Linked DNA regions of Rattus norvegicus. The protein of the gene in region 1 interacts with the protein of each later gene in a pairwise test. Links are inferred from orthologs where the notes say so. Each region holds a gene or a part of one and is shown in the gene's direction. Other genes may lie near its edges. The genes, in order: Wt1 and Wtap.

Region 1 (4,602 bases):
TGAGTTAAAACCGCTGTGCAGCAAGTGGAGAACGCACTAAGACCATTGAAACGCTAAGTTTCTTCGTGTTCAGCCAACATCCTTGGCTGTTGTTTCCCGCAGGTTTAATTGGGAAGCTTGGAGCCCGATTCCGAATCCGGGTGCAAGCCGCGGCTTCCCGGCCTGAGCGCCTGACAGTCCCAGGCTGCGCAGTCTCTGCTGCCTCCAAGAGTCCCCGAGTCTGCGCTGCGAAAGGCACTACTTGCCTACTGGTTCTTTTCTCCCTGGATTCCACTGCTTTAGGAAACCCAAACCAACACAAACCAATCCCCAAACACCTGTTCTAAGACGAGGGATTCTCAAACAGCTACAAGGTGGAGGGAGGAACTGGTTTTGAGAAGCCACTCTCTGGGAACTCCTTGGGCTAGCAGCGAGAACAAGCCTCTAGCCAAAGGCAATGGAGCATCTTCTCGGCGCACTTCTAGGTTAGCCTAACTGGTTTGCATCTCCTGATCAATCACCGCAGGTCCATTCTCATTCCCTCATCACTAGAGGAAGCCGTGCTTGGTGAAGCAGCTTTGCTTCTCCGTTCCCGTTTCTTCTCAACAAGGCGCCAAAGTTGGTTCTGGACATTTCTGCTAGGCGCCCCCCTCCCAGGGTACTCCCCAAAACAGCTGCAATTTTCCCAAGTTAACATAGGGTTTAAATATTCCTTGCCAAAAAAGGCCAGTAAGTGTTGTCTATACTGTAGGCAGCAACCACCCTCTGGGTTCCAACCATACCAAAGAACCAACCTCCAGATAACCCAAACGGTCCCGTTTGTCACAACTGACGTCAGACTTCATAATTACCGGTCCCGAACAATTTCACCTTGAATCTCAACCTATGAACCCGGAGGGACCAACCTCCGAAAGTGACCCCACGGTTAGGCTCTAGAGTTCGGAACATAGGGGGAGATAAGCCTCAAAGTTAGGCTATCTGCCTCAGAACCTAGGAGAGTTCTCTGGGCTCTCTGGTTCCCGCCCTCTTGGAGCCCACCTGCTCCTCCCTCCACCCCACCCTCTCTGATTAACAACCCGGACTCTTCTCTCACCGCCGTCCGACGCCGAGGGGACTCACTACTTACCTAGAGGGCCTTGCCTCAAGGCGCCTACACTCAAGGCTAGCAGGGGAAGCAGGGGGAGGCTTGCCATACAGGCCAGCTGAGAGCACGTGGCGGGCCAAAGAGGAGGGTGTCTCCGAGAAGAACGCTCCCTCGGGCCCGCCCCACACCCCAGAGGCGAGTAACCCGGACGAGCAGCGCGCTTTGCTGAGCTAAGGCTGCTGTGTGAATGGAGCGGCCGAGCATCCTGGCTCCTCCTCCTTCCCTGCTGCCTGCCCCTCTTATTTGAGCTTTGGGAAGCTGGGGGCAGCCAGGCAGCTGGGGTAAGGAGTTCAAGGCAGCGCCCACACCCGGGGCTCTCCCGCAACCCGACCGCCTGCCCGCTCCCCCTTTCCCTTTCCCGCCCTCCCTCCCACCTAGTCATTCACCCACCCACCCTGAGAGAGGACGGCAGCCCAGGAATCCGGGCCCGCCGCCTCCTCGCCGCGATCCTGGACTTCCTCCTGTCGCAGGAGCCGGCTTCCACGTGTGTCCCGGAGCCGGCGTCTCAGCACACGCTCCGCCGGGAGCCCGGGTGTGTTCAGCAGCCGGAGCAGCCTGGGGACCCAGGCCCGCGCAGCACCTGGGCCAAGTCTAGCGTCGAGAGTCCGCAGGATCGCAGGAGCGGAGAGCCGTCCGCATCCGAACCGCACCCCATGGGTTCCGACGTGCGGGACCTGAACGCGCTGCTGCCCGCCGTGTCCTCGCTGGGCGGTGGAGGCGGCTGTGGGCTCCCTGTGAGCGGCGCGGCGCAATGGGCGCCGGTGCTGGACTTCGCGCCTCCGGGCGCCTCGGCTTACGGGTCACTGGGCGGTCCCGCGCCTCCTCCCGCTCCGCCGCCACCTCCGCCGCCACCCCACTCCTTCATCAAACAGGAGCCCAGCTGGGGCGGCGCCGAGCCGCACGAGGAGCAGTGCCTGAGCGCCTTCACCTTGCACTTCTCCGGCCAGTTCACCGGTACAGCCGGGGCCTGTCGCTACGGACCCTTCGGTCCTCCCCCGCCCAGCCAGGCGTCATCCGGCCAGGCCAGGATGTTCCCCAATGCGCCCTACCTGCCCAGCTGCCTGGAGAGCCAGCCCTCCATCCGCAACCAAGGTAAGGATTCCGCGCAGCACGACCTCCACGCGCGGTAGTAGCTCCGCGACTTGGCCCCAAGCCGCTCCTCCCCTCCTCTCTTCCTTCTTGATGCCAGTTCCTATCCAGCTGCCTTCCAACGGAGTCTGAAAGTAGCGGGCAGAGGGGAGTGGGCTCTGTCAAATGCTAGCGACACCGCACCATCACCACCACTTACACACTGCTGAGCACGACCCCAGATAGTTCGCAGGACCCGGGAGGACATCTGGGACCCCTGGGTGTCTTAGAGGTTTCGGGACTCCACCGGAGGAGGAAGAGTGGATTGATTGTAGCGCGTGACTCCACACGGGAGTGGGGGGAATCTGGTGCATAAGGCCTCACCAGGCGTTGGCTTTTAAGACGACTAGTGTAGACGGACTAAGTAGAGCATTCCGAGTGGGACTGGCGTTTAGAAACGCCCTGTGACAAGCCCGAAGAGCTGACCTGAAGATCTTCCAGTTCTCCATAGGCTCTGGCTCATTCCAGGCCCACCATGAGCAGCAGAGAGCTTTGGAATGAAGGATTAAAACTTTGGGGAACCTAGTCTGTATTCGCGTGTACCTTGCGGAAGAGGTAGCACTGTTGATCTCCTGGATCGAACTGGAGTTCGGTAGTTCGGAGGCCGCGGGGATGGGAAAACCATCCTGGCCGGTCGGTCTCCAACCCATATGGAATCAAATCTCTGGTGCGAGACTGTGAAAAGGTGGCCTTCTTCCTTTCACTGCTCCTTGGGTGTTTCCTAGTCACGTACACCGAAGTTAGGCTGGGGAATGATTTCATAAGGCTTTGGATGTAGAAACAAGAACAAGTGTATTGGCGGATCTTCAGTTAATATACGAGTCTAATTTTTAATTCTCACAGGAGCCCCTACACCTCTCTTTCGTTAGCACCCTGGTGGAACCATGGTTCCTAAGCCGCTGTCGCTTTCTTCGTTTGTTCTCATTTGATTTCTTTGCTGTTGAGAATCGAATTTCGTTTGAGTGGATGTTTTAGGAAAACCTTTTCTGACACATGCTTTTCTTGGGCCAAAAATTCTGATGTCCTTGATCTGGGTGTTTTTGAAATGTGTGGGAAAGGGGGAAGGAGAGCCCGCACCCTTAGGGGAAGATGCAGAAGGTGCCCAAGGTCTCTCCAGGGCCTTTTGAACCCAGCCTGGAGCCGCTCGACCACCCGAAGCCCTAGTGAAACCGAAACCACTGAAGAACAGGGACTTGAGGAGAAAATTGGAGCGGACTGGGGGTCCATTTTAGGTCTTTGGTAAATGAAACTAGAGTTTTGAACTAGAGATGTTGGGGGAAGAACTTGGTGCCTTCGCAGAAGCTCTTGGATCTTGCCATCACTTTCTAGTAGGTAGGTGTTACCTTTGGCAAACCTCCAGGTCACTTTGCTCGCCTCCAAGAGGAGAACTGAGATGGACAGCCAGGAGTTTGGGTTAGGCCAGAAGTTATAGGCCAAACAGGAGGAAATCTGACCAGAGTGTAAATACAGAACATACAATCCGACCACACCTCCCTGGATCAGAAAAGGAGCCACTGTCAAGCATGTGTATGTCGAGAGTGAGCATGCCTGTTATTTGGAGAGGCTCTCACAGACCTATAACCCCCCTGGCCAGCAAATTCTAATGGACCACTATCTTTTTGAGACTTTCTAGGCTCCCTGTGAGGCTTAGCACTCTGTGCTGCGCGTCTAGTAGAAGAAACCCATTGTTGAAGGTGGGTGGGGCTGAGAATTTAAATCGGGAGGGCATTGCCAGTGCACTTGAGGTGTTAGGGGTGGGCATCCAGATTCTTCTGGAGTAGACAGGTCAGGCTACTACAGAAGCGAGAAAGCTTGGAAAATGAGAACTGGCGAAAGCTTCCCACCACACCAGCTCTTCTCAAACCAAGAGAAGGCCAATGGGGAGATGTCTTCCGTGCAGGGACATACCCTGGAAGCAGGTTCCCGTCAGGAAACTTGGCTTTTTCTTTCCTAGTTAAAAGGAGTGGGTCATGCAGGTGGCCCCTGTGGGTTCCCTTGCCTCCTGGGATCTGAAGTGGTGAGCATGGAGCTGCTTACCCACCCCATCCCCCAAGGCAACTAGGAGGGACCCTCAAGACCCGAAGTTCTTTGAATATTCATTCCTTTATTTTAGGAGTTCCTATGGATCCTTTCAGCAATGTAGGATATAGTTTGGAGCTTTTGCTTAGGAGAAGTTGTCTTCTGTCCCTGGAAAGTGTGAACATGGCCACCAGCTTGCTCCAGACTCGGCTGTCAGAGGAATTCAAGCTATCTCTGGTTACCTGTTGGCAAGCCTGGGAGAGCAACTGTGACACTTTCCTTCCTTCCTTCCTCCGTTTCTTAAGGACATTCACACACACAGCCATTTCTTA
Region 2 (4,469 bases), on another chromosome or scaffold:
TGCTTCTGAACTTCTTTGGTTTTTGTATTTGTATCTCATTTGTTTATTATATATAAGTACACTGGGGCTGTCTTCAGACACACCAGAAGAGGGCATCAGAGCCCATTACAGATGGCTGTGAGCCACCATGTGGTTGCTGGGAATTGAACTCAGGACCTCTGGAAGAGCATCCAGTGCTCTTAACGCTGAGCCATCTCTCCAGCCCTGTATCTTATTTTCTTTTACACTAGAAATCTTTGGAGAAAGTAACATTGAAATGTTTGTACTACAATAAACATAACTTCAAAACCACAGCAACAATGTTATAATTACAAATCACTTAGTGAAACTGAGTGATTCTTAGGTATCCACAGGCACAGTGCCAGAGTGTGAAACTCAAAACACTGTAGCTATATATATTCTTTGTCTATGTCTCAGTTCCACTGCCAAACTGCTTAAGAGTCAATTGGTTCGTTTCAATTTACTTGACTTTGAAGGGTTTTTACCTTTTGTCTTCATAAATTTTGAACTCAGAGAAGCCTTGCTTCTACCTTTATCTCCTATAGCCATTACCACTTTTTGAGTAAGTATTAAGTTTCTGCAATATCCTTCTGTCTTCCCAGTATGTGCCTACATATATGTGTATATGTATTTCTACACATTGCTTTATTCACTCAGCCCAGTAGTAATTCCAAAGTAACACATTAACTATTAATGACTGCATCCCTACCAGGATACAGGATTTCAATGTGTATTTCCATTATAAACAAAGTTGATCCTCCTCCTACGATATATTTAAGGACATCTTCTCTGTGAATCATCTGTTCATGTCTTTTCCCATTTTCTTTAGTTTTCCAAGACCTTTTTTTCTCTTAGCCTAAGTGGAACACCATGGCTCCTCTGGTCATCTGGTCTCTACTGTAATTGTGTACTTATAAGTGATCTCAGCCAGGACACCTTCGCTGGGGATTAACTGCTCTCATAAAACCGACTAAACCTAAATATGACTGTCCCATCTGGGAAGTGCTGAAGAGACTGCAGACTAACGCCGTTCTTGCTGTAATCCAGGCGACTGTCTTACTGGAGTGATTTCTCGGACTCCAGAATCCTCACTCTGCTGCCTTCTCCGGGATTCTGGTGTGCGATCTGCCCTGGAACGTCCCACAGGCGCAGCTTCCTTGCACCTCAACTTAAGCCCAGAGACGCCACAAGGAGCAAAGCCGGCGGCCGCAGGGAAAGCGGCGGCTTCTAAGGCCCCCAAACTTAGGACGAGGGGCGCTTAGGCGTGAAGCTGCTGTCTCCGCGTTCCGGCAGCGCGAGCGGAAGCATCCTGTGCTATGCGGCCTGCAGCGAAGAGCCAATCACGCGCTCGTCGGCTCGGATTCCTCCGCCCAGGCCGTGCTGCAGCCGCAGGTGGCCCCGCCGAGCGTGTCCGGCAGCGGCCGCCGTCCCGTGATGCCTCGCGGGTGACCTCTGACCTCGCGGGCCCGCCCTTCTCTCCGGCCGCTTCCCTCCCCATCCCGGCTAAGCTTGCAGAGCCCCCACGGGGCAGGTGCGAACCTCCGCGGACGGTCTCGGTGCGGCTGCGGAGAGCCGCTTGCCCCTCCGCGCCCCGAGACCCCGAGCGGGCCGGCCTCGCCTCGTCTCTTCTGGCCGGAGGCACCGGGCACGGTGACCGAGGCGGCGCCCGAGAGGCGCGTCTCGGGTGAGTGGGCCACGGGCGGGGTATCGGCGGCGCACTCGGGGCGGGGCGCACTCGAGGCGGGGCGGGGCCGACGGCGGGGCCTGGTTTCCTCCCTCAGCGCCATTTTGTGGCTGCGAGACCCGCAAATAAAGGCTATCTCCGGGGCTGCGGCGGGAGGAGTGCGGGGGGGGGCCGGCGGCGGCGCGGCCTCGGCCTGTGTGACTGGCGGCGCCCGCGCAGCCTCGGGCTGGGAAGGTAGGTGCGGCCCGCGGCGGGAATGGCCACGAGGGCCTGCAGGGACGGGAAGCGAGGCGCGGCCGCCCTGGACCCGGCGAAACGCACTCCAGGCCCGAAGGGCGACCGGGCTTGCGGCCGCGCTGGCTTCCCGTTAGTCAGAGCGGTTTGCTGCTCGTGGGGATACTTGCACCGTTTCACAGCCATTCTGCTCCCGTTCCTGACGGCAGGGGACAAGGCGGGCGTTCCCGCGACTGGGGAGGCGGGGAGGCCGGAGGCCGCCCTCTCGGGGCTGACTGGCCATGCCTGTCCTTTCCCCGCCTCTGTCGCCCCCTCCCACCTTCCAGGGTTCGTCACCCGGGACCTAGAGGTACCGATAGTTCTGTATGACCCAAGTGATGCATTCGGTTCTTTAAAAAAAAAAAAAAAGGAATTTCACGTCACGCAGTAGCTTGTCATTGCAGCCACGTTCTCATGTGGACTTCCATTTTTACATAAGTATGCATTGTGAGAGTAGTTAATTTTTTTGACAGCTTCCTGAAATTTTTCGTGAACTTTTAGTCTAGTTTTGGATCTCTGTAAGGCTGATTTGACTATATTTAAACTTGATTTTCATAAGACAGTGCACAGTGAGAAAAGACCTAAGTTTTTCTGTTTGTGTACATATTTTCTTATTGGGGAGGGCGGGGGCGGCTAGGGATGGAACGCTAGGCCTTGTGCATGCATGTTATTAGGCCAGCATTCTGCCATTCATCTAATCCCCGAGCCCACAGTTCTTGGTTTGATAATGAGGAAGTCAGTTAATTTGACCCCAAAGGACTAAGACACTGCACACTGGTTGTAAGGATCGGTGAGCATGTTATAGTCGTAAATTGTATTTATGCCTTTTTTGTCGTTCTCACTATAGCCTCGCTTTTTTCATTTAGTTAATTTTATTATTTGGAAAGATAAGTGGAAGTCACAAATCAGTTACTACAAATTCTATTTGTTTTTCACTTTAACTTATTTATTTGAGCATCGGAGCTGGAGAGTTGGCCCAGGAGTTAAGAGTACTTTTTGCTCGTCCAGCACCCAATTGATGGCTCGTGGCCATCCTTAACTCATGTTCCTGGGAATTTTGACTTCCCTCTTCTGACCTCTGTGGGTGGCACCAGGCATGCACGTGATGCACATACATACATGCAAAACATTTACAAAAAATTTTTAAAAGTACTTAATTTTAAAACCATGCACCAGGTTTTCTCATAGGTAAATATGTAGGCATCTGAAACTATTAAAAACAGACATTTTTTGAGGTGGCTAGGTTTCATTCATTCAGCAACTATTGCTCAGGCAAGTTGGGGAAAGTTGCAGTCTACAGGATGGCTTCTGATGTGTTGGAACTGAATTTTAAGGATTTGGGCAGATGTGTTTCTGAGGGTGCTTTAGTTCTTCATTCTTAAACAGATGAGTGTGTTTGAACACTACTTAAATTATGGTTTGTAATAGCCATTTGATGTATTTGGACAGAGCATTACCATTTTCAAGGTCCCTCCTGTCTTTTTGTGTATATAATGTAGACTCTTGAAAATATTGTTAGCCGCCTAGATAATTGGTGTAAGGTGTAGTTAAATTTATCATGCTCTTTAGAAGTTTTACTTGATATGCATTCTTGTTTTTATCTCCCACTTTCTTCCTCTAAATACTTCCTATTTCTTTTCATTAAGCTTGGGAAGTTTTTTTTTTTCCAGTATTCCCATCATTGAATAAGCTATTGGTGTTAGGTGTTAGGCATTTCCATCAGACAAGATTCAGTGTTCTTTGCTTTAAAGATGAAGTTGGTAGAGTTTATTTCCTGTGTTGATTGTGTTCAGGCAGTCCTTGTTTGTATAGTGTTTTTATGGTACCAATAACAGACCTGCAGTACTTTGTGCCCTAAGCAACACTGATGTGGAAACTGAAGCCCAAAGAATTAAGTGACTTGATCACATAAACAGGAGACTGAAATAGTGTTCTGATTTCTAACAAGTCCCCTTACTCCTGCAGTGCTGAGGCTCCAGCACTGCCAGACGATGCCATTTCTTAACATCCACTGTGATTTATTTCAGCGAGCCATATACATGCCTTCTTGCATAACTTACCTTGGCGTGTGGTTGCCTTTCTCCAGAGAGTACTAAGTTGCCTAACTTAGGATCATAGTGTTATGATCTGGGATGGTAGGCACTTAGTCAACTAAAGCAGTTCCACAGCCTAAGCTAGGCTTTAAGAGTGGATGGCATTCTAAACTGAGATGAATTCTCTGAACTGTCTACACAAATAAGTTTAAAGTTATAGGTGTTTTGTCGTACGTCTGGAGTTAGAATTGTTATGAGCTACAGTGTGGCTGCTGGTAATCGAATCCAGGTCCTCTGAAGGAGCAGTCAGTATTAACTTCTGAGCCATCTCTCCAGCTGCTCCTTCCCCCTTTGTGTAATTTAAAAGCCCGTCATCTTTTAACCTGTTGGAAGTTTGCCAAATTATTCGTGTTTGAGGTTTTCTGTTTTGCCTTTTTTTTGTTTTGTTTTGTTTTGTTTTGTTTTGTTTTTAAAGATGG

What was found.
Region 2: the proteins of Wt1 (region 1) and Wtap interact in binary tests that used the Homo sapiens proteins (3 or more experiments, as listed by UniProt). The link is inferred for Rattus norvegicus from reciprocal best matches to the Homo sapiens genes WT1 and WTAP.

What each region holds. Positions count from the first base shown.
Region 1 is NC_086021.1:112,020,248-112,024,849, forward strand, and holds the start of Wt1 (Wilms tumor protein homolog), read left to right. Parts: upstream 1-1,761; 5' UTR 1,762-1,776; coding exon 1,777-2,215; intron 2,216-2,223; exon of another isoform or gene 2,224-4,602. UniProt on the Homo sapiens protein: Transcription factor that plays an important role in cellular development and cell survival. Recognizes and binds to the DNA sequence 5'-GCG(T/G)GGGCG-3'. Regulates the expression of numerous target genes, including EPO.
Region 2 is NC_086019.1:50,069,474-50,073,942, forward strand, and holds the start of Wtap (pre-mRNA-splicing regulator WTAP), read left to right. Parts: upstream 1-1,499; 5' UTR 1,500-1,684; intron 1,685-1,784; exon of another isoform or gene 1,785-1,918; intron 1,919-1,960; exon of another isoform or gene 1,961-2,267; intron 2,268-4,469. UniProt on the Homo sapiens protein: Associated component of the WMM complex, a complex that mediates N6-methyladenosine (m6A) methylation of RNAs, a modification that plays a role in the efficiency of mRNA splicing and RNA processing.